Drosophila melanogaster: one gene and its partners. The gene in region 2 interacts genetically with the main gene of each other region. Each region holds a gene or a part of one and is shown on either strand. Other genes may lie near its edges.

Region 1 (6,199 bases), on a different chromosome or scaffold from region 2:
AATTTCAATATATGGCAAAAGGCAAGTTAAAATTTTTCCCCAAATCATCAGACACAAGGACACTAAAATAAGTTTTTACTTTAGAAGTCACCCAGAACCATGTGCTGGAAAATGTTCTCCAACGAAGCTTCGGATTTTAATAATCATTAGGTACCAGTTGCTAATCAATTTTAGATTAAATATGCTTTTAGATAAGGATGTTGTCAGGTGATATTATGGATACGTATGAACATATGTTGCTACTTATTCTTGTTTAGTCCCACATCCCTAGATCAGTTAAAGGGTATACTAGATTCTTTTAAAAGTATCCAACATGTAAAACAAAGTCTTTTCGACCAAGGAAAGTATATAAATTCTTGATCAAGATTATTAATTGAGTCGATTATGTCCGTTCGTATATCCATTTGAACTTCGGGATCTCTGTACCTATAAAGGATTCAGCATACAGATCCTAAAGACTTTCCACACGTATGCTTATTTCCAAACGTAGCCACACCCAATGTAACGTCGACACACTGCAAACCATTTTTGGCCCTGATTTTAATTTCTTGGAATATGAACCTCTAAACCAATACTCTGTCTTTAATGACAGGAGCGGATTATAGAAGCACATTTCTTATCTTATCACTATTTATGTATATTTCACAAGTGTGACCAAGCTAATAGTGATATTAGTAAAATCTAATAGGCAACGCATAGACCTAAAGAATTAGAATGTGGTTTCCCACAACGATCAAAAAAAAAAATATTAAAACATTTTCAAAAGGTGTGTCAGTTTTGGGCGGTTGTGGGCGTGCCTCTAGAATCGTTTTATCTAATCTCAACTCTCTAGCTATAATGGTTCCTGAGATGGTGGTGTTCATACGGACAGACTGACATGGCCAGATCAACTCGGCTATTGGTTCTGATCAAGAATATATATACTTTATAATAATAAATAAATAATATACTTTATATGGTCGAAAACGTTTTGTCTGTTACATACTTTTTAACGAATCTAGTATACCCTTTTACTCTACGAGTAACGGGTACAACAAAAATGCTATATTCGACTTATGTTCTGACAGTCAGATACCCGTTACTCAGTTAGTGGAAATGGTGAATTGATTGAGAAAATATTTAAACAAATTTGAAAGTATGGGCGTGGCAAAAAGTTTTTTGGTAAATCGATAAAAATTTACAAGTGTAATAAAAATATAAAAAAAAATTTGAAAACATTTTTTAAAAGTGCAAGGATGTGCAAGTTTTAGGCGGCTATAGGCATTAGGGGGGCTTGGCAACTTTCTATCTGTTATATTTTGGAAGTGACAAACAGGTTCTTTTTTCGTCTTGGGCAACTATTATAATATATTATATTATATACTAAATAACAAGTTTACAAAGAATTCACTACACTAGTAATAAAAGCTATCACTACTTCAAAGTTAGCAGACCCAATACGAAATTCAATGACCAAATAGAAGTCAGCACCAAAACTTAATTACTTAAAAATTTCTTTGAGTGACAGAAGGAAAACTTATATTAGGACAGTATATTTCTTAGATTAGATTTATGGAAGATAACAATGTACTAATTTCTGAATTGTTTAAATAATATCGAACGAGTCAACTACCTTATCCAAACCGCTACCGGAGCACTATCCCTTCGAAAGCTTAGTCTCATTTCTCAACAGCTAACTATAATTTGAAAATATTTAGAATAAAGTTATTGTTCGATAGGCTCATGTTTTTTTTGGGATGAAAGGGGATTTTTATTAAATGTCCGAAAATAATTTTTCGTCACTAAAGTTTGGTATGGTATTTGGCATGATGCGATCGTCAAATGTTTTTACCGAGTCACTAACTTGGACATAGTCTCTAAAACATACTTTTGATTTTATTTTTACTTAGTTCCGAACTAGGGGTCAATAATTTAAGTTATTGAAATTCAGTTGCCCCGCGTGGGACAATCTAATCGAATGCTAATTGTAATTCGGTTATTTATCCTGCGCACTTCATTGGGGTCGTACAAATAATGAGTTCTGATTACAGCGATTGTGCCCAAGTCTAGTGTTGCCGATAAGATAGCCGCAATAGATACTAAGCAGAGCTACATGCACACCCAAAGTGCCGTTGTGACTCATCGACTCCTCGACCATTGTTGCGGGTCCGACAATAGGCCTGTACTCGATCAGCGATTTTTAAAAGGTGTGTGAACCGCGCAGAAAGCTTTGGAAAGCTTGTAGAGTTTGTGCCAATGCCTCGGCAGAGAACTTGTTCTTATGGATTGTGGCTGACCTTGCCGTAGAAGCCCATTATGTTTTTATTTGCATAATACCTTAGAACAGTCGAAGGGTTTTCGGGCTATCGCATTTCAATATCTTGGAGATTATGAAAAGCTTTGCCAGCTGTTTTGAAGTTCGCAGCTGTGCTCTGGAAAACTCCCTCTCCATTACCAACTTGCGGCATTGACGCTCTCGCCGTAACCGTTACCCGTTAACCGTTTTGAGCTCGGCGACCTAAGCTTTTGGCTGCGTCGCGAGGTTTAGTTAATATTATTAACCGGAGTGACGGCCAAGTTGTCGCAACGTTTCTCGTGGATCGCAGATCGTGGCGGTAAGGCGAGCTTTTTGCCGGGGGCTCAAAGTGTGAGTGTGAGGTGTCTTCAGTTTGGTTTTTTTCACATAGCGTGGCATTACTCTCTTTGACGAATTCAATGCGACGTCGCGCTTTTTTCGGTTCTGCAACTTCCGTTAGTCGGTGGCTCGAAAAGTAAACAAAGTGCTGCATATCGCATGCAAACGTGACAATCTTTCAGACGCACTCCAACTTGATAACTTGATAAGCATCTGTGAGATGCAAAGATACAAGTTATAAAGCACCATCTCGCGAAGCCATGTAGCCGAGTGAAAAAAGTAAAATATGCGAAAGCAGAAAAACAAAAAATTTGTGCGTGTGTTAGTTGGCCATTGTGCAAACCTTTAATGAGCTGGAAGCGCCAAAAGCCAAATACCAACGAATATAAAGAGCACGCGAAACATTCAGTTATATTTGCAAAACTTGGTTTTGTGTTCACGCAAAGATAACGATATGCCATGATAAAAATTTAATTAATTATTTTTCAATGCAAGGGATATAAAAAAAGAAAAGTATACACGCTGTGACTGAATGAAACTTGGAAGGCAAAATTAATTTAAATGATTATTTTCGTGGCGCAAAGTATCCTTCCTTCCTCTACTTACCTCCACGGCAATAAGTCCATTATACACAAACGCGGTATTTATAATTTGTGGTTTAAACAGCCTCCGCAGGCCGCAGAACGGACATTTTTCACGTAGGCGAACTGTCGATGCGACTGAGAAATGCAAAAAACTGGAGCCGACAACAAAAGCTTCCTATCTATAAAGCCAAAAACCGATTGCCAAAAATAAAATAGAGCCCATTAAATAGCCCGCGTAAAGCGCACACAACAATGATGGCCACGTGCTTGGATACCAAAACCAGCAAGAACCATGAGGCCCAGCAACTGCAACTGCCCCGGCAGGCGTCATCGAACGCCAACTTGCCACATTTGCAGGTCCGACGTCATCGCCGCAGCATCTCACAGCTGATGGCCAGCATGGGTAATTTTTAGATCTGAAGATAAAGATATTTTCATTTGCATAGATTACTTGGTTCTCGTAGAGCGGCAATGAAATATGTGCGTCATCGTGAGATGAGATAAGAGTGATCATGTTTGCTAAGATATTTCAACATTTAGAACTGGTTGGCGGTAGGTGTTATGGTATGCGAAAGTGAAAAATCATTCTGCACCAAGTTTTCATTGTTTCAATTTGGGGCGATTTATAACAATGAGTGTGCAGTCGAACTTAAATAAGTGTAGTAGTGTAGGGAACCAAGAACTGATAACGATTTCATTGCCTAAATAATAAATTAGCCGAACAATACCCGTTTCCTTTGGATTATATAAGCCTTTACCCACTTATTGCTTCCATCAAATTGCGTGTTGGGCTCGGCCTAACGGTGCAATTAGTAAATGAATCATAATCAATTTTAAAATGCATGACGCGCTGCAAGTAACGATACATGCCGATATTGTTAAAAATATATCGAGCCTGATTTACATTTGTACTCATGCTCGATCATTGCAACAGGAAGTTTCGATTTCTTTGCAATTGTGTGTAGGTCAGGTGAAGCAAGCGATCGGTGGGTTTAATAACCTTTTCAGTAGACCGGCCACTGACAAAACCCGCTAAACAAAGGCGATTCAAAATGAACGCCCTCGGTCTGAGGACATTTTGATAACGGGCATTAAATGGAAAGCATTAACATTCCTGCAAAAAAAAATACAATGCATATAACAGAATTTTTCAGTTAAATCAAAAATGTTTAAGTAACATTTAATTCGGCAATTTAGAACTAGTTTTTTTTCACACCAATGCCCTATCAATAGGAATGGGATACCACAGCTTTATTCGCCACCATAAAAACGTATTATTGTGGTTGGAGTTTAGTTTTTTCAACGAAAAATTGTATATTCTTGAAACAAAATGGGGTTACTTCTATTCGTCTTATCTGTTAGTGATAAAAGTGTCAAGTTTTTTTTAAGTTAATTTGCTTGCCAAAACCAATGAGCCAAAACTAATGAGTTCGGCAAATCGCTTTGAAAGTGAAAAGGTGTTAAGAAATTATGGTTCTTTTATTGAGTACGGTGTTACACTTATTATACCGCCTTAAATTTCTGAAAACGGCGGCCGATGATTGAATAATAGGTCCAAGGTTTAATTATATCCACAATTCTCTTTAACGATTCGTCTAATCAAATACATTTTTGATGGACTTAAATTTTTTTATTTTTTCACTTTTATCACAAATCATGGAACTCGAGCATTAAAGAAGTTTTTGTTTTTGCCTCCAGAAGTTTTTGTTTGGTGACTTGAAGCTGATAGCAAAAAGAGCTTCGTGATAAGGCATATGCCAACACTCGTTATTTTCACTACCCATATAATAACGAATTCAATACCAAGAATTTATGCCTGCCAGTTGAACTTGCCCATAAGCTAGCCTGTGTATGTAAAAGTGTGGTAATAAAACTTTGATGGCACTTATTATGATAGGGTATCATGGAAGTGCCCCAATGTCATTGATCATTGACGGCCATTATCAAATTCTTTGCACTCGGCGTTCCAGTTTATTTTAATTATCACAAGTGATAAGGAGCAATCGTAAGTTATGACTCGTTCAATTGTTTGATAAATTAAACCAACAACTTCTGAAACAGTATCTTAACAAAAATTTTCAGGTGTCGCTACCTTTTTTTTTTAAAAAACCATTTTCGATTTTTGAATTTTAAATATTTCTATACGCGGTACTCAGCGGACAGAAATAAAGTTACTCTGTGAATAGGCGAATAGGACAGGACACCTGTTATTGTCTGCTAATCAAAGCACTTGACTAAGTACTGATTTATTCTGTTTATTACTATCGTCGATAACTGAACCTGTGCACTTTTGCAAAGCCGTGCCGCATCCATAAACTCACTTAACCGTCATTGGTTGGCCTACCTACTGTGCAGTATGGCCTAATCTATTTGTTGTGCCGTTTTATTTGGGCTTGCTATCTAAATGTCAATCAGCTAGAAGCTGATTGCTCAAGTATTTTGGGAAAACAGAACAGTAGAGATTAGGACAGGTATATGGCAAAACTGTATCTCCAAAAGATGCGTACGATACCTAATATTCTCCTCTGATTTGCGTTCTCAGCCAGTAGCACTGAGCTAAGGAAAATGCTATACTTACGGGCGAAGGAGGTGCGTCGTGTGTATTTAGCTTTAAATGTTTTCAAGGTTCGAGCAGGGTTCCTATGTCAAGTTCAGCCGACCATAATGCATTAAACTTAACTACACCACATGTCGTGAGCTCTGACCTTGAGCGAGCTTCTGTTTCGAATGTAGATAGCACTTGCTAATTATTACCATTTAATGGTTACAACACAGGCCGTTCAGCCGGGGGACATATCTCAAAAATGTTATATTTACATTCATGGCTTTTCGAACATCAAACAATTTAAATTTTATTATTAGACTAGAAAAATATATACTTCAAGTTATATAAAAAATGTTTTTAATTTATGTTTACCAGTATTTTTAAATGTTGTGCCAATCTTACCCAACATGAAATAGAACTTACACATGTACTTAGCATGGCTGGGAAACTGACAAC
Region 2 (5,922 bases):
TACATTTTCAATATATCCATAGTGTTAATCATTCATGAATTGTAACATCAATTTTTCTTAATCATTGTTTCATTTCATGGAAAATATTTTATTCCAGAATTTTCTTGAGCTTGGAGGGTGTTGATAAACATACATACATTTTTTTGCATATATATTATATTGCAATATAAAATATTTTCCATGAAATGAAACAATGATTAAGAAAAATTGATGTTACAATTCATGAATGATTAACACTATGGATATATTGAAAATGTATGTAAATATGTAAATAACTGTTCTTTTGTAAGTAACTGTGCTTTTGACGCCACATCTTACAATTATTACATACATATGTACAAATTTATTTTTAATAGGTGAAAAATCGAAAAAACCATTTTTAAGAGGTGGGCAAACGAAAAAAACAAATTTTAAAGGGTGGGCAAACGAAATTATTTAGTTTTAAAAGGTGGGCAATCGAAATTATTTAGTTTTAAATGGTGGGCAAACGTTTTTTATTGGAAATTTTTATTTTAAAGAGGTGGGCTAAGGAAATTGGTTGTATTTTAAATGTGGGCAATCGAAAAAAAATTTTTGTTAAAGGTTTTTTAAAGGGTGGGCAAACGATAAAAACTAATAATAATGGTTGGGCAAACGTTTTTTGTTGATAATATTTGGTTTTAAGAGATGGGCAAACGATTTACTCTCTGATTAGACCGAGGTAAACTTAAAAGCCTTATATTTTCTAAAGTATAAATTTTTTCAAAATTCTAAAGGGTGGGCAAACGTGGGCAAACGATGTTATTGCGATTTAAAAAAAAAAATTTTGAAAAAAGCGAAATTTTTGATTTTCGAAAATTTTCGAACTTTTTCGAAAATTCATATCTCAAAAACTGGACGTGGGCAAAAAAACTAATTGGTGGGCAAACATGGGCAAAAAATGGGCAAACGATTCCAGCTTTCAAATTTCAAAAATTCGATTTTTCCGACCCCAGCTTCTTTGAGCTACCTAAACTGCCACACACAACAATGATTGATTGTGGAAATTTTTGTGGGGGTAAAAAATGGTGAATAAATTACCACACTGGTTGGTAATTGGTTTGGTTTGCAATGCAATTCCATTCGATATTGAAATTCCCAAAAATTGTTCAAATGGCAATTTCTATTAATTAACACGGTGCTTTTGGCAAAGGAAACACCCTTACAAATGGATATACAATCTGCAATCAAAATGCGATGCATACGTGTTTCCCCCTCGTTGCTGTCAAATAGCCCGCGGTATCTTTCGACCATTTTCATTCTCTTTTCTGTTTTTTTTTTTTTCTTCTTTTTTTTGTATTTTGTTTTCAATTTTTATGTGTATTTTTATTGGATTTTATATGCGAACCCAACCCCTGGGTCACGAATAAAAAAAAAGCGACAAGAAATGAAAATTGAATATTTTATGTGAAGCGAAGCAAACAAGAGCAAACAAAAAATTGTGGATCAACAATTGAAACATCGCGTTTTTATATGTACGCAAGACAAATGGGTAGCAATTTCTTTATTTCAGAAACAAACAAAGTCGCCTAAAACAAAAATCTTTAAACCATTTCAAAGCGCACACATTTATTATTACAAATATGTGCAGGCTTCATTCATGTTTATACTTTGGTGATTTAAAATGTAAATTCTTCGTATTGATTAAAAAAAAAATATATAAATTTAAAGTTTCCTTAGAGAAATTTAAATTGTATATTTACACTTGGTTACCGCGACGAAGTGCCTTCGTCGTTGAATGCAAACTTGAGGACAACAAACGAGCGGAAGCACAAACACAAATGCCACGTATACGCCACGTTGTCTGACATTTTCCCCTGTTACCGGGGAAATGCGAAATCAAAGATTGCCAACCGCACAGAGTGCCGCCTTTCGCCATTACGTTATTTTCGCCATTTCGCGCTCTTATGTCAGAGAAAAGCCGGTCACGCGCCAATACAAGAGCTGCAACATCCTCCAGCATGCAGTTCCTTAAACGCACCGATTAGCAAAAGGACACGTACACGAAGGATGCGTGTGCGGATGTCGTTGCGGATGCCAGTGCGGATGCGAATGTGGCAACAAGTTCGGCTAACGAGACTGGCTGGCCGACAAGAGCACACCCAAATCCTTAACCGGAGTGGCCTAAAAAAAACCTAAACCGCTCGCTTTGGCCAGCAATTTTCAATGAATGGCATCGTTTAATACAATTGCCCACACGGCGTATGCGTAACGAGTTTGTTTCGCCGTGTTTTTGCCGAATTTCGAACCGAAATTGCAGACGATTTTTCATTAAATCATCTTATTGACACACAGACATTCGAAAGTAGGGGGATACTCTGAGACAATGAGAATGTTGGTAATTGAATTTATACAGAATGAAAAGCAAAGGGCATTCCACGGAATTTTATTCAAAATTACACATTGTTGCACACATATTTGTGGAGCCTAAAAAGAGCTCGAGCTTTAAATAATTTTTAAAAAATTACTGCTTTAAACTAAGATATATTAATATATTCAAGCAATTCGAGTCAACTATTTTACATCTGTGGAATTTTGAAACTCTTTGTAAACTATAAAATCCGATTATATTTTATGATATTCCAAAAAAACTCATCAAATTCAACACAACAAGCTGAGAACCGAATTCTTGATAATTTCCATGCGTGATTCTATTAACTGAAGCATACAATACAATATTCTGTGGAGCTTTTCCTAAAACTACGAATATTTGCCAAAAATTGTAGCTGAAACTTTAAATAAATCTGGGAATCCCCATTTGAAGACTAAATATAAAAACATTTCCGAAAAATCACAATACAAACACGCTGCTCACAATCACACACGGCAAATAAACTCTCACATCACGAAATTAATCAACAAATTTTCCAAGGAAATTTTTCAATGAATTTCAATAAGTATATTCATATTTACCGTTTCGGTTTGCCGCTTTAGTTTTTCTTTACAATGGAACGCACTTTTCAGTCGTTCGAATCAAGTCAAAATTTCGTGCACATTTTTGCGTGCTTTTACACGTTAACAGTTAGGATTCAAAAAGCACAAAAACTAGATCTTAGTCTTACATAGTTTTAAGTTTTAAGTTTGTATCGTAGCTTATATTTCAAGTATTGAATAAATACTTTGGAATATCTTTGAATATTTTCGAATATTTGTACAAGTTAATATTGGTTTAGCACAACACTTAGAAGCACAATCAAAAAAATAGTTACTTTATATTTAGATATTGTAAGTTTTTCAGTATGTTTATGTTTTTCTTATGGTATGCGATGTTTTTGTTGTGTTTTGGGCGATGTTGGTGTTTTTTTTTAAGAACTTGGTAGTTCCAGAGAGTTTTGGTATTTTGCTTTGAAATGTTTGGCCTGCTTGGGCTGTTCTGCTATTTAAATGAGTTATTTATTTCTAGAACAACGCGCCTCGTCGACCGTTCAAATGAAACTGATGCGAAGGCGACGCATTGCCAGGAATATAAAGCGACCGGGAGCGAGAGGGCGCTATTGAGCATAAGCGCGGGAGCGAGCGAGAGGCCAGCAATCGGCCGGCAACTTCGGCTGTGGTCGGCAAAAGCCGAAGTACTATAAACACCTGTAAGCAGCCTTCGATGCCGGCGAGAGAGCGAGAGGGAGAGAGGGAGGGAGGGAGAGAGAGAGAGCGAGAGCGAGCAAGCGAGCGAGTGGCCGTATCGTTCTCACTCCCTCACCCTTTGCCGCCCAACGCCCACATACTCCCGCTCGCCCCGTCTCTGTCTCACACCCTCTCTCGCTCTCGCTCTCTCTCTTTCGCGCTCGCATTCGGAAGCGGAAGGAAACTCAACAGTTGGCACATTATTGAGTGGAGAGAGGAGCGGAGAAAGTAGAGCGGAGAAATGGCGAGAACTGCGGAGAAAGTGCGGGCGGCAGCGCTACTCTTTGTTTTTGTTGTCGCTGTTTGTTGCCATCAAATTTATGGCAATCATTTGTGCGGTGTTTTAAGTTGGTCCAACACAAGTGCCCAAACTATCGATAATTATCGAGAGAGAGAGAGAGAGAGAGAGAGTGATGGCGTGTGAGGGCGATGGAGGAAGTAAGGGATTAGAATAATCCAAACGATTATCGTAATGATATTGTTAGCTATTAGCAATCAGATTGTTTGCAATATCTAAAACAATTTAAATAAACGATTTTATGGCATTAATTATCGGTATAATCGGCAATATTGTTATCGATCAATATCATTCCTAACAACAGGAAGAAAGCTGCTTATATTTTTTTGAAAAATATTAAATCGAAGAAATCTTCAAGGAAATCATTGGTCTCATGTTCGGTGTCGACCTCGTCGAGTAACTTCTTCAATCTTCGTAATAGATCCTTGTCCTTTTCGAGAGTATCCAACAGTTGTTCAGCATCGCTTTTTAATAAGCCCAATTTACGTAGTAAACGTATCACACGCCTTTCAAATGGCGTAAAGGACTGACGTTTGAATCGGTTGTATCTCTGCGGCAGCTTCAAGGATATCTTGTGTTGTACAAATTCCACAGAATTCTCTTTATGTTTAGTAGTCGTTAGCTGCTCCTTAGATATCCCGTAGAATTCCTTATCACGACGTTCAAGGCTTAATCCAAAAGCGGCCAAAAAGACCAAGAGCCCAAAGATATGCAAGTAATGCATTTTTAAAAACTATGCACGGCCACGTTGTCCAACTTCTACTTATATACACTTTCAGTAGTGCACTTATCAGCAAAAAACAAATTAACTCAAACTCAATTAGAGATAGCTTCACACTGAGTTATGTCAATGCCGTGACTTTAGTTTAAAAATTTGCCCAAGAAGAGTCAAGAACATGACCTAACTTACTTAACACTGCGAGTCGCCCATTTCCTGCTCATATATTATTTAAATTGAAGAAATTATTACAAAACCAAAGTAGCATTGCGTTTTGCGTAACTCAAATAAGGGCAGTCAAACGAAAATTACCAACCGACTTTTATATTTTCCATAAATTTTATACTACTCGAGATGGATTGTGACAATTCGAGTTTGGAGGAGAAGCGAGAACGCGTTGACAATGCAATCCTAACCGCCATGGAGGATCTGGATCGGGATTATCTGCGCAAATTGCAGATCGAGATGCACAGATGTGCGACCGCCTGTTGTGCGGATGCGGACGCGAATGCGGAGGCGGTGGAGCGGTGCATCGATCGCTGCCAAATCCGTTTGACCCGATCACGCTGCTTCGTACAGCAGGGTATATCCGATTTTGAGAATCGCCTAGAGAAGTGCATCCAGCAGTGCCGCCTCAATGGATCCGATTATAGCTTGGAACGTTGCACCAGCAACTGCGTGGATAGCCATGTGGGATTGTTGCCCGAAATGTTTAGGGCTATGCGAGATACCCTGGAGAAAGGTGTTTAGCAAAACAGAACACTTATGGTTTGATTTAATTAAAATTATATTCGTTGGATTTAAACAAAAATGTCTTAATTTATATTATTTTATATTATATTTATTATTCAAAAATTCATTTAAAAAATATCATGGACTGTGAACCACCGATTTCCTTAAATGCCATCAAACACCTCTTAATTGCTAAATAGCGACTTAATTAATGCCAAACGGCAATTAGTAATCTAACACCAGTCGCCAATCGGCCGAGGAAATGTTTATTGATTTATTTACTAATTTAATCGATTATGCTGCAATTTTTGGTGACCCAAAAACATGCTTTTTATAAAGCAATTACGAGACCTCATTCCATCGAAGGATAATGGCCCAAAAGCAATACAGTCCACAAATTATTCATACGAACATGTTTCGTATGGTCTGTGATTTATTCAGCAACATAGAGAAAAACGCGCCGCATGTAAATGCTACCAATTGATTTTTTTTTTTTTTTTTTTTTTTTTCCATTACGATGATGTTTTTATTATTT
Region 3 (5,818 bases), on a different chromosome or scaffold from region 2:
GAAGGCCAATATGCTGTAGCTGTTGAGCACGGTAAGGAAACCGGGCAGCTCTAAGAAAAACCAATTTAGAATATTTTAAGCATATGCCCTAAGACCAATACCCACCCAAAGAGATTCCCTCAAAGGGTGTTCCAATTGCAGGAGCTGCAAAAAGGCAGAACCACAACAGCGCCACAATAACGATCATCACGCAAACTGCGATGATAGCCAAGCCCCTGGGATAATTATAAAATAGGATAATGCAGTGCATTGATAGAAAGCAAATAATCCTATCCTGAAATTTATCTTACCGCATGTGCTTTGGACTTCCCAGCCACATGAGCGGGCAGATGACCAGGCCGACTATGATGGCCCAGTAGCAGTAAGAGAAATTGTACTGACCAGCGCTCATGCGCAGCACGACGCCCTCTAGATTCTGGGCAGCCATGACCACGCTGGGCACCGCCATGGCGAAAATGCTTAGATCGAGCAGCACGGACACCAGCAGACTCATATAGGGACCGTAAGCCAGCTCTGCTAGTGCGGCATACGGATAGTTGCGCTTCTGTTGAATTGAAGGATCAAGCAGTTCCGCCATGGTCCAGCATTGGGAGAGCAGGAAGGAGGTATAGATCTGCAGGATGATGATAGAAAGCACCAACAGGATGCCAAAGTATCCAAGTTTCACCAGCAATGCCGGCAGCGTGACAAATGGGAAGATGCCAAACAAATCCACCACGTACAGGATGGCGATGAAAAGCGAAAGGTTCTCCGGTTCGTCCTCGTAGGCGCGGAAATGGGGAAGGGCGCTGAACCGCGATCTTCGCAGGAAGGGCAACTGGTCGTGCTGATGCGAGGGCGTTAGCTGGACAGGAGGCCGACGCTTTGGAAGCGCAAAGGACGGAGCGCGCGAAGGGCGTGGCGCGGGTTTAGCATTCTGGCGACGGAAGAAGAACATTCGCGATGTGGACTCTTCCAAGGGAAGCAAGCAACTGCAGTCCCTCTAAGCTTAAACTAATGGTGGCCACTCTCGCCTGCAACTGGCATATTACCATCAACAAGTTCTGACATCAGACACCAAAGCGAAGCCCTGCAACGACTGCAATGTCAATGCACGTCGCCTGAAGTTCAATGCCTTGTCCCTCCACTCCGTGAAGTGACCCACAAAAGCATGGGCAGCCGTCAACTTGGTAACGAACGTGTTTATTTTGCATATTTATATAATATCAACAAATAGCTTCCAGCGCCCCTGTCTTAATCCGCGTGAGATTCGTCTTCCAGTTTCCTAAAGTTGCACTTGGGAAATCTTCTGCTTCTTTGCTTGGCTCTGAAAGAGGGGAATTGATTAGAAGGATCTAAACATAAGTTTGAAAGCAAAACTCTGGATTCCATCTATGTATGAAATGCAATGGATACAGCGGTTAAGGATACCCACCTCCTCTTTCTCATCTGCCTGCATGGTGATGACCTGCACCGCTTGTCCAGGACCGGATCGCAGCACCTTGGATCCACGTAAAGGCACCTCCCCGCAGCAGAAAACCCGCGACGTAGGCGTATGCTGCAGTTGCGGGCTTGGAGTGTCCGACTCGTCCATGTCCTGCTCCAGCTGGTCGCCTATAGAGTAGCTGTTCGCGTTCTTGTTGTTGTCCGTATAGGCGTGGTTAAAGAGCAAATGGTTGGGACGCACCGCATCCGTTATATACTTACTACATTCCATGGGTTAGGCGGGCATGGTCAGTACAATAGCAACAAAGTTAAGGTTATTGTTTAATGGGACTACATTTTGGCAACAATTCGGTGTAAGTAGATGATACGCACACTGACCACCGCAAAACTATGGCTAATTTAACAAGGGTATTTACAAGGGCTAAGATTGGGCAAAAATAAACATGCATTAAAGGAATCACTGCTAAATAGGAACTTGAACTCGGATCTGCTCTGCTCACTCACGCTCCATGAAGAGGCGCCACGGCTCAAACAGCTTATGGTGCTGGTGGGGCAAGTGGTGCGATTTGCGGTGCTGGTGGGTTGGAAAGCGTGTGGGCGACGAGGGCTTCTTTTTCACGTGCAAAGCGCGTCAAGAGTCGCATTCGGTCGGAGCCGGTGCATCCCGCCTGCAGTTTAAGACATAAAAGGAAACAATACAAAGACTGCTGGTGGTGCACGTTAAGTGTGTTCTCTGCTGTGTGAAATGGATTAAGGTGGCGCCTCATTCAGTGTACGTATCGTTTGAAAGATGGGTAATTGTAAGTGAACATGCAGGATTAAGGGGAGGTAACAGGAAGACCACCTACGATTTAAAGTTAAACAATCGTTGGCGCTTGATGTACTCCAGCACCAGATCGTCTAGAAGGTACTTGACCGACTGGCCGCGTCCTAAGAGCCGCCGAATCAACGTGGAGCTCACCTCATTAGGCACCCAGTTGGTGATTAGCGTAATGTTGCTCTGAAATGTGAATGGAAATGAATAAGAAATAATGTTGTCGAGGTACTGTCTCTCTAACCTGATACTTGGTCAATATGTCGGAGTCAAAGATGAATTTTCCTGGGTTTGAGCCGGCCCGGGTGATAACTACCAAACCATGGTTAGCCACAATGTCCTCAATCTGGGAACAATCATATAAAAAAAGGTACTATTCAAATATATCAAGACTTACATCGGCCTCTGCCCATAGGCCTGGAACAGCAAAGGACTCCAGCAGATCGGCACCGCACAGTAGCTTCAGATGTACAGGATCCCGACTGTCGTGCAACCCACGAGGCAGCCATCCGGGTAGATGTGTGTTCTCCCCGTCATCTCCGCCTCCCCCGCCGGAATTTATGTGGTTATTGATATAGTTCTGGTGGTGCTGGAGCACCGCCTGCGTGCGCATCCACTGATTCTGGTGCACCTCCCAATCGGACAACCGAATCCAATTGGAGCTCTGGGTGGCCAGCTTGACCATGGCACATCTGTCCAAGGCGGAGGCCAGACCCTTTTTGCCATATGAGTCGTGCGTGGGCGAGATGATGCCACCTACCACTCTGTGGGTTCCCTGCATTTCGAAGTGGTCCTTGGCTATCTCTGTTGACAAAAACATGCCGCGTAATTTTATCGATTATGTACCGCAGAATTTCACAATCTAGTTTAACTCACCGAACATCCGAAGGTGCATGGGTGTGGGTGGACTGAAGCATCCGCAGGCTATGAAGGCGATCCGCGGCAGCAGGCTTTTTGTTTCCTCGATGAATGCTGACATTTTCTTCGATTTTGAGCGTCTTTTAAAAGATCCAAACCGCCGGAAGCATTCGCTTGTTATGTTGTTCTTGGGCCAGCTGATTTTCACAATCATCTGTTCGGCTTGTTGTTATTTTCCAACACTAAACAGCTGTGCAGTGGCTACCACCTCTGACTACCTTTGACTTGTTATTCGATAAATGATAACTTAATGTAACTTAATTTTTTGATTTTTAATCATCAAAAAGGCAAGAGTACATAAAAATGTATTAAAGCCTGTTTTACTGATATATCAAGAAGTATACAAACATCACTGCGTTTCTCATTAATAAGTACTTTTTTCGGTGTACCACACGAACATTGCTTTCGCTTGCGATAGTTAGCCAGCCCTGCCAGAACGATTGCCTGACGATACTAGTGTTATCGATTAGAAATGGCGTCCTCACTGTCTTTCTTTTAAGAAAAATTCGTGTAGTCTATTTACCATTTAGCAGCGTTGTGTGTGTCCGTTAATTGTAAGGACACGCTGTTTCTTAGAGAGAACCGCCTGGCTAGAGTGTCCGGAAAGCGGAAACCAAGACGATCGCAGGACGAGGTCGCGGAGCCGACTGCAAAAACAACGGCCAGCAGGCAGCGATATGAAAATGCATTTGTAGCCTTAGCCCACAACACTTGCACACACACCACACACTCTCGCGCACACTCACACACAGGGAAAAGGAGGTGGAGCAGAAGGAGCCGAAGCAGGAGAGGATTGCAAGGGACACCGCTGCAGCATCGCCATCATCTGCGCCAGGTGGAACACGAGGGTCAAGAGGCGTCGGCGGGGGAGGAGGAGCAGGAGGTGGAGGAGCGGCTGCGGCGACGACGACGACGTCCACGACCACGGCAACAACAAATGGCGCTGGTGACGGTGCAGCGCTCTCCCAGTGTGGCGGGCTCCTGCTCGAATTCGGTGAGAGGAGACTTGATGGTTTTCGCGTGTGCGTATGCGTGTGTGCTTTGTTTTGGTCACCCCCACTCTGCCAGGAGAGCCAATTACGGGCAGGCTCTTTAGTGCGTGTTCCGCTTTTGGCCATGATCCTTTGTGTGCTCGGATGTGCTTTTCATGCCCAATGTTTATCATCCGCCAGCTTGTTGCTTACGCTTTTTGGATTTCGACGTTCAACGTTCGCGTGTGGGCGGTATGAGGCAGCGTCATCATCGTCATCGGCTGTGCTGCGCTGCGCTGCTTTTGGTGTAACCCAAGCAAATCCGCAGACGTCGCGACGTCTATATTTTTCAACAGACTTTTGCATTGCCTTATTTGTCGTTTTTGTCGCTTTCCGCTTACCGCTTGTTTTTGTTTTCTTCGCCGCCCCACCGCCCAAAAATAGTTCGCGAGACCTTGACGTCCGCCTGCACAGAGGGAAAAATTAATATCGGGGGTTGATCAATTTAATTTTACAAAACGTTTTAATTCAGATATGCTCAATATGTCAAATCGGTATTTTTGAACACATAAATTAACATTTTATTATTTCTAAGAAATCAGAAAATATAAAAAAAAAAAAAATACTTCACTAAACCGGAATCTTTTTCGAACTTGTGACCCTTTTCTCAAAATCAGACGGTATTCAGTTGAACAATCAGATTTCTTGGAACTGCAGATACAGCTTTGCTTCTTTTCCGCCCTTGAAGTGTAGACTATAATCAGGAGTTTATCTTACCCCTTTGCAAAATAATGAGCATGCAAGTTTGTTCTTTGCCAGACGACATCCTTATATTTAGCCTAACCCCACGGGTGAGGTGCAGCAGGATAAGGTATTCTTAAACACCGAGTAAACAACTTTCCTTTCTCTATAACATCAGGATGGCGAGTCCGAGGACGACGAGGGCAATAGCAAAGGAAACGATCGCAGCGAGTGCTTCTTTGCCGGCAAGGGAACCGCCCTGGTACTGGCTCTTAAGGATATCCCGCCCCTGACGCAAAGCGAGCGTCGCCTGAGCACCGACTCCACCCGCTCCAGTAACAGTACGCAAAGCAACAACTCGGACATCCAGCTCCACCTGCAATCAATGTTTTACCTGTTGCAGCGCGAGGACACGCTAAAGATGGTGCGTATCCAATGTAAAATTACTTTGTCTATCTTTTAAACATATCTTTCTATTCCTATCAAAAGGCTGTCAAGTTGGAGTCACAGCGGTCCAACCGCACGCGCTATCTGGTGATTGCATCGCGTAGTTGTTGTCGGAGCGGCACCAGCGACCGTCGGCGCCACCGGATCATGCGTCACCACTCGGTAAAAGTTGGTGGATCCGCGGGAACAAAGTCGTCCACCTCCCCGGCGGTCCCCACGCAGCGTCAGCTGTCCGTTGAGCAGACCGCCACAGAGGCCAGCAGCAAATGTGATAAAACAGCAGACAAGGAAAACGCAACGGCGGCCGGCGACAACAAGAATACCTCGGGCATGGAGGAGTCCTGCCTGCTGGGCATAGACTGCAACGAGCGGACCACCATTGGCCTGGTGGTGCCCATCCTGGCGGACACCACAATTCACCTGGATGGCGATGGGTAAGACTGGGCATTCATCTCGTAAGAGTCATGCACTCATAACTGCCTAATTGTCGCTATTAACCTTG
Region 4 (6,882 bases), on a different chromosome or scaffold from region 2:
GCCGAGTTGGAAGTTCGGAGTTCGGTGTTCCGTGCTCTGAGTTCGAACTCGAGCTGGATACACATGTACGGGCGTAATTGTTTGCAGATGTCCTTAAATGTCGTGAGAATATTCAGTTGGTTTGCCTCTCCAGTCGGCTGGCCCCCTTTTTGTTTTGTGTATCTTAACCGGAGGTGCACGCCTGTTGCGCCTCTCGATACCGATTATTAGTTCTCAGATACTTGGGCTACTCAATTGGGGATTACCACCCATTATATTTTTGATACATTGGTATATTTAAGGGAAAATTATATATTAATACATAATTTATAGTAACTATATATGTTGGAATAAAGTCCCGATATCTATAGGTATTTCCATTATCTATAGTTCTTATACAAGGGTAAAAGAAGAGAGAACTCTATCGCCTATCAGTTATACGCTTAGCTCAGCTAGTGAAAATGCGTCGGATATGGACGAAACCTCGACGGACAGACAGACAAACGGACGGATATGGCTAAATTAAATCGGCTAGAGGTTCTACGGAAGAATATATATACTTAATAGAATCCGAAACGCTTTGTTATAGCCGTTACATACTTTTCAAGGAATATTATTTACCCTTTACTCAACAAGTTACAAATTTTGTTCTCTGTTACAAACATATCAAAATTGTAAATTACAATTACTAATAATTTTATAAAATTTGTTGAAAATTATATTAAGCTTTTCGATGGCCTTTATGGCCATTTTAATGATTATTGAACAGATTTGAGTATAAAGTATATCTGCCTTAACCTATGGATACAAAAAGACAGCCAAATATTAAATTTAATAAACACTTTTGTAAATGAAACCATTAGGAGATGGTTTGTTATACATATATGTTACCAACAGTTCCGTTCTGAGTCATACGAGAATTTTCCCCGCTCAGTCCGGTAATCCATTTTCAGTTGTGGTTTTGTGGCTTTCCTTATTACCCAGCTCCCCAGGTCCTGTGCAATTTCCATATTATTCCAAATCCGAATCGTTGCCTCAAGTGTTTTGGCGCAGAAAACTGTAATTTTTATTCATTTCCAGGACGCAGTCTGAAGTGCCTGCTAAACGATTATTAGCAATTTGATATAACTGCATGTAAGTACAACACGAGAACAAGTCAACAACGGATTCGCCTGCACACACACACACACACACACACACACAGACACGTGTGGCCACTTACATAAGGACGAGTGGGTGTATGTGTGTGAGTGTGTTTGCCTGTGTGACAGCCAACAGTGGAAAATCACTTCAGTTAACTAAATCCCCGCAACAACCATGCGCCGACTGCGCCGCAGCAGCACGACTTCTGCAGGAGCGGACAGAGAGAGAGAGAGAGAGAAGGAGAGAGAGAAACAGAGAGCGGAACAGCCGAAAAGGACACGGCACAAAGCAGCCATTGCAGGGGCGTGGCCTGCGGCCAGAGAGCCAATCGGAGGGCGAGGTCTTGCGAACAGCGACGTCGGCAGCGGCAGAGGCTGCAAGGGACGAGGAGAGAGCGGGGCGGGGCTGGGGGAAGAGGTGGAAAAGGGGGCGGCAGCGTTAAGCTCATTGCCATATTTTCGCTGTGCTCTCTTTTGAATTTACTTTACTAACAAAACATGACTGTTGGGAGGCAAAAAGGAAATTGTTTTATCAAATGGGTTTCCTTACGCTTTTTTATTATGAAATTAATTTCCAGCATCGTTTCGCAGTCGTTGACGTTCCACTCCCATCGCTCTCACTCCCACTCTCCGTTGGGTTCGCCATTTTCCAGTTTAAACCCCATTTTGCGCCCAGCTCCTTTGAGCATGTGTTTACTCTAGTTTTCCTTTGGAGCTGCCTTAGCCATTCCACTTTCGTTTCATTCCGTTCGGGCAATGTTCGGGAAATGTTTGCATAGTCATATTCTCCCTTCCCTGCCTCCAGTTTCCTTTTTTCATACCGCCTTTCCCCCCGACAAAGGCATTAAAATGCAAATCTTGATTATGAATTTAAGCTCGGCAGACAAATTAAATTTATTTGCCACTCGAAAGATAAAAATCTTGAAAGTTTTATTTGATTACCGCTTGTGTCTGGTTCAGAAGTTCCCCAGCAATCCTTACCAATTCGCATTGAAATTGTTGCCTACTTTTTGGGGCTATATTATTGATACTGAATATATACAGTTCATATTCAATATCATATCATTGTCACCTTACATTTTATATTTATTTACTCTTTATTCTTCGGTATTTTGTGCGCATTTTATTATTGTTTTTTTATTAAGGATATTATATGTTTTAAAAATGTCCCCCACAAATTGTTGTTATTTGCAGTGCCGATATAGAAGCTCTCGCCCAGGTAAAAGTGTGTGAGACATATGTTATTCAGTTGTAAGTGCAATGAAAGAAAAATATAAAATCGATGGGCATTGCTGGTCAACACTTGGTGGGCTTCTCCTGGCGGAGTGTTGAGTTCAGCACGGGCCAAATCGTACCAACAAATTAATAACTTGATAGGGCCAATAAAGGTACATGGGTATCCATTTTCCCCTAGCCTTCACATCCGCGATGGTAACCCATATAATGGCCGTCTTCGGGGAGCTGGGTGTTTTGTGAGTGGTGTCATAACAGACAGTGAAAGTTACTCAATTCATTGGAGGCACCTCCTCCGAATCGATAGCACTGTACTGCAAGGTAATATTTTAATGGGTAATCTCAAGATACGAAACATTTTCATTATTATTAGTAGAATTTTTCTTTTACTCAAGCATTCTTTAGAAGGAAAGTTTGTGAAAGTGTCTTAGCATATATGTATGAACTACATGCATCTGGTACTCTAAGATCAACCCTGCTGACCAGTGTAATCGATACGAAAATCATACTCAAAATAGAATGGCCACTAAGTCAGTTAGCAAGAATGTTCGCCCGCTAATTGTAAAATCAGTTTAGGCGCACTTTTCAATGGACTCAAATCGGGCGCAGCCAACGCGGAATATTCACAAATAATAATTAAGTGAAAACCCATAACAATAAATATTCGATATTACATTTGAGCTTAATTCGGTGCGCTTAATGTCCGGTCAGTGAGTCGCGAGTTTTTGGCTAGGATTACGGAGCAGTCGATCTCAAGCAGCGAGGATGGTTCAGTTCCTGGGCAAACAGGGCACCGCGGGTGGTCAGTGTCCATTGAGTGGTTTCATGACCAACTGCTAATCAAATTTGCAGCTAGTCCCGAAAGAACTTGACCTTCCAAAGGTCACTCAATACTCGTTTTGTGTTTTATGAATCAAATAAAACAAAATTTGAACAAAAGCCAATTCAATTGACTTTATTGATTCTTAAGAATCCTGTGAGAAATATGTTTATGTAATGAACTTAACCTTAACATTTATATAAACGATTATACAATATTGGTGAAAATTATTTTGCGAAAGGATACCAAGTGGGATAAGGACCCCAATAAATATTTATTAGTAATAGCTTCACATTTGTCTTAGTCGTACTTTAACAATACGTTGTAAATAGTTTTTATTTCATTTGGAATGCACAATCCTTTCCCAGAGCTCATTCACATGGTGACCCTGGACAAGACGGGCAAGAAGTCCTTCGGCATCTGCATAGTGCGCGGCGAGGTGAAGGATTCGCCCAACACCAAGACCACCGGCATCTTCATCAAGGGCATTGTGCCCGACAGTCCCGCGCATCTGTGTGGTCGCCTAAAGGTTGGCGATCGGATCCTCTCGCTCAACGGAAAGGATGTGCGCAACTCCACCGAACAGGCGGTCATCGATCTCATCAAGGAGGCGGACTTCAAGATCGAACTGGAGATTCAGACCTTCGACAAGAGCGATGAGCAGCAGGCCAAGTCAGATCCGCGGAGCAATGGCTACATGCAGGCCAAGAACAAGTTCAACCAGGAGCAGACCACCAACAACAATGCGTCCGGAGGTCAGGGAATGGGGCAAGGTCAGGGTCAGGGTCAGGGAATGGCTGGCATGAACCGGCAGCAATCGATGCAGAAGCGGAATACCACATTCACGGCCTCGATGCGTCAGAAGCATAGTAACTACGCCGACGAGGATGACGAGGACACCCGGGACATGACCGGTCGCATTCGCACGGAGGCGGGTTATGAGGTGGGTTAACCCAAGGTCGCCACCCATCGCTCTACTAACTTATAAGTACCTTAGATCGATCGAGCATCCGCCGGTAATTGCAAACTCAACAAGCAGGAAAAGGATCGCGACAAGGAGCAGGAAGATGAATTTGGCTACACGATGGGTAAGACTCAATTGAAGCCATTAAAAAATGTCAGTCACACAGCACGTGAATGCCATTCCCAGCTAAGATCAACAAGCGGTACAACATGATGAAGGATCTGCGCAGGATCGAGGTCCAGAGGGACGCCAGCAAGCCACTGGGACTCGCACTCGCTGGCCACAAGGACCGCCAGAAGATGGCCTGCTTTGTTGCCGGTGTGGATCCCAACGGAGCATTGGGTAGCGTGGACATCAAACCGGGCGACGAGATCGTCGAGGTCAACGGCAATGTGCTGAAGAATCGCTGCCACTTGAACGCTTCCGCCGTGTTCAAGAACGTGGATGGGGATAAGCTCGTGATGATCACCTCGCGACGCAAGCCCAACGATGAGGGCATGTGCGTCAAGCCCATCAAGAAGTTCCCCACCGCGTCTGATGAGGTCCGTACTTTTCACTTCTTTTCGGATGGATCCTGCGATAAAATGTCCTTCCCTTCTATTCCAGACTAAGTTTATCTTCGACCAGTTTCCCAAGGCGCGCACGGTGCAGGTGCGCAAGGAGGGTTTCCTGGGCATCATGGTCATCTATGGCAAGCACGCTGAGGTGGGAAGTGGCATTTTCATCTCGGATCTGAGAGAGGGATCGAATGCCGAGTTGGCGGGCGTGAAAGTGGGCGACATGCTGCTGGCCGTTAATCAGGATGTAACACTGGAATCCAACTACGATGATGTGAGTCGTCAGGAAGCCCTCCAACCACTTAGTTTAAAACCATTTCATATCCACTTCAGGCTACTGGACTGCTTAAACGTGCCGAGGGCGTAGTGACCATGATTCTATTGACTCTCAAGAGCGAGGAGGCGATAAAGGCTGAGAAGGCGGCGGAAGAGAAAAAGAAGGAGGGTAGGTATTGCGTCCAAGCAAGTTCAAAACTGACATCTTCATCCCGATAACTCACAGAGGCCAAGAAAGAGGAGGAAAAGCCACAGGAACCCGCCACAGCCGAGATCAAGCCGAACAAAAAGATACTCATTGAGTTGAAGGTGGAAAAGAAGCCAATGGGCGTCATCGTCTGCGGCGGCAAGAACAACCATGTCACGGTGGGCTATCTGAACTTTCTGTTTCTGCAAGAAGTACCTTAAACAACTTTTCCCTGACAGACTGGCTGTGTAATCACCCACGTTTATCCGGAGGGACAAGTGGCAGCCGACAAGCGCCTCAAGATCTTTGACCACATTTGCGATATAAATGGTACGCCAATCCACGTGGGATCCATGACGACACTGAAGGTCCATCAGTTATTCCACACCACATACGAGAAAGCGGTCACCCTAACGGTCTTCCGCGCTGATCCTCCGGAGCTGGAAAAGTTTAACGTTGACCTTATGAAAAAAGCAGGCAAGGAGCTGGGCCTGTCGCTTTCTCCCAACGAAATTGGATGTACCATCGCGGACTTGGTGAGTGCACATACACCACTGGTATACAGTGGTAGGAAGGCTCAACCCTAAGTAACTACTTTCTCGACAGATTCAAGGACAATACCCGGAGATAGACAGCAAACTGCAGCGCGGCGATATTATCACCAAATTCAATGGCGATGCCTTGGAGGGTCTTCCGTTCCAGGTGTGCTACGCCTTGTTCAAGGGAGCCAACGGCAAGGTATCGATGGAAGTGACACGACCCAAGCCCACTCTACGTACGGAGGCACCCAAGGCCTAGAGACGATCCTCATTCTCCTCCTCCGGTAGCGAAGCAGTGCAGCAATTCAATAAAAGAACCAACAATTCGAATTCAAAACAATCTGTTTTCCGTTGTGGGTTTATTGAAAAGGAAACTCCTTAGGCTATAGAGCTTGCATTGGATGCAATACGGGGCCACAGATCGGCGCATTCCTTGGCCACCGGTCCAGTGATGGCCGAGCCCTTCATTTCGCCCTTGTTGTTTACTATTACCCCGGCATTGTCCTCAAAGTATATAAACACCCCGTCCCTCCTCCTGAACGGTTTGCGCTGCCGAATAACCACGGCAGGCATGACCTGGAAACAAATGAAAATAGTAGTTAGCAAAGTTGCTCGGCAGTGTGCAAACCTCCTGCTGCATCGGTTAGTTATGCAAAAGTGCGTTGTTATAGGTGGGGGAATTATGAGAAGTGCAGTGAAACCGTTTTATAAACCTTCTTCACTACAATTTTAAATTCTTATCAATAAACAAAAATATTAAAAACGTGAGTTTGGTGCGATAAGCTATCTTAGCCGGCACAAAACATGTGGGGAAAATTTATTGGAAGCGTAAGGAGAAACCTTCCACGTCTAATACAAATCTATCTATATTATCGTATTACTTTACAATGAAATACTCTGCAATTGATAGAAATTAAAACTGCCCGTTCAAAACAAATGACAAATAGTGTAGCACAAAATACGATTATTAACCTTAAGCAACCCAATGTAATAAGAGCTAACTAATTTCAAATTGGCTTCTTTGAAACAGAAACAAGTTGAATTTCATTCAAGAAAACGCACACAAACAAAGTGGAAAAACGTGTTCACTGGGCGGGTTGCTAGCCCATGGGCACTTTTAGCACATGACCGATTCAGCCGGAGCACTGGGCACCACACTCACCTTCTTCCTGAGCTCGGGCTTTC

Evidence for each region.
Region 1: of rdgA (region 2) and Pld, changing one suppresses a phenotype caused by changing the other (phenotypic suppression), as found in Drosophila melanogaster (one study listed by BioGRID).
Region 3: of rdgA (region 2) and Nmnat, changing one suppresses a phenotype caused by changing the other (phenotypic suppression), as found in Drosophila melanogaster (one study listed by BioGRID).
Region 4: of rdgA (region 2) and inaD, changing one suppresses a phenotype caused by changing the other (phenotypic suppression), as found in Drosophila melanogaster (one study listed by BioGRID).

The regions. Positions count from the first base shown.
Region 1 is NT_033778.4:6,242,984-6,249,182, forward strand, and holds the start of Pld (phospholipase D), read left to right. Parts: upstream 1-2,528; 5' UTR 2,529-2,594; intron 2,595-3,280; 5' UTR 3,281-3,450; coding exon 3,451-3,601; intron 3,602-6,199.
Region 2 is NC_004354.4:8,922,706-8,928,627, reverse strand, and holds the start of rdgA (retinal degeneration A), read right to left. Parts: upstream 3,445-5,922; 5' UTR 2,932-3,444; intron 1-2,931. Other genes in the region: CG43255 (uncharacterized protein), read right to left, coding at 4,254-4,661; CG12661 (uncharacterized protein), read left to right, coding at 5,010-5,405. UniProt on the Drosophila melanogaster protein: Required for the maintenance of phospholipid turnover within the photoreceptor.
Region 3 is NT_033777.3:24,942,751-24,948,568, reverse strand, and holds Nmnat (nicotinamide mononucleotide adenylyltransferase), read right to left. Parts: upstream 3,333-5,818; 5' UTR 3,312-3,332; coding exon 3,116-3,311; intron 3,044-3,115; coding exon 2,637-3,043; intron 2,586-2,636; coding exon 2,484-2,585; intron 2,426-2,483; coding exon 2,274-2,425; intron 2,094-2,273; coding exon of another isoform or gene 2,057-2,093; exon of another isoform or gene 1,736-2,056; intron 1,686-1,735; coding exon 1,415-1,685; intron 1,307-1,414; coding exon 1,265-1,306; 3' UTR 1,169-1,264; downstream 1-1,168. Other genes in the region: mah (mahogany), read right to left, coding at 1-50, 106-215, 291-937; ssh (slingshot), read left to right, coding at 4,920-4,979, 5,048-5,293, 5,359-5,750. UniProt on the Drosophila melanogaster protein: Catalyzes the formation of NAD(+) from nicotinamide mononucleotide (NMN) and ATP. Essential for viability.
Region 4 is NT_033778.4:22,854,836-22,861,717, reverse strand, and holds inaD (inactivation no afterpotential D), read left to right. Parts: upstream 1-2,923; 5' UTR 2,924-3,119; coding exon 3,120-3,156; intron 3,157-3,506; coding exon 3,507-4,117; intron 4,118-4,171; coding exon 4,172-4,262; intron 4,263-4,324; coding exon 4,325-4,680; intron 4,681-4,744; coding exon 4,745-4,969; intron 4,970-5,028; coding exon 5,029-5,140; intron 5,141-5,197; coding exon 5,198-5,337; intron 5,338-5,397; coding exon 5,398-5,694; intron 5,695-5,764; coding exon 5,765-5,956; 3' UTR 5,957-6,030; downstream 6,031-6,882. Other genes in the region: RpL23 (ribosomal protein L23), read right to left, coding at 6,076-6,273, 6,860-6,882. UniProt on the Drosophila melanogaster protein: Involved in the negative feedback regulation of the light-activated signaling cascade in photoreceptors through a calcium-mediated process.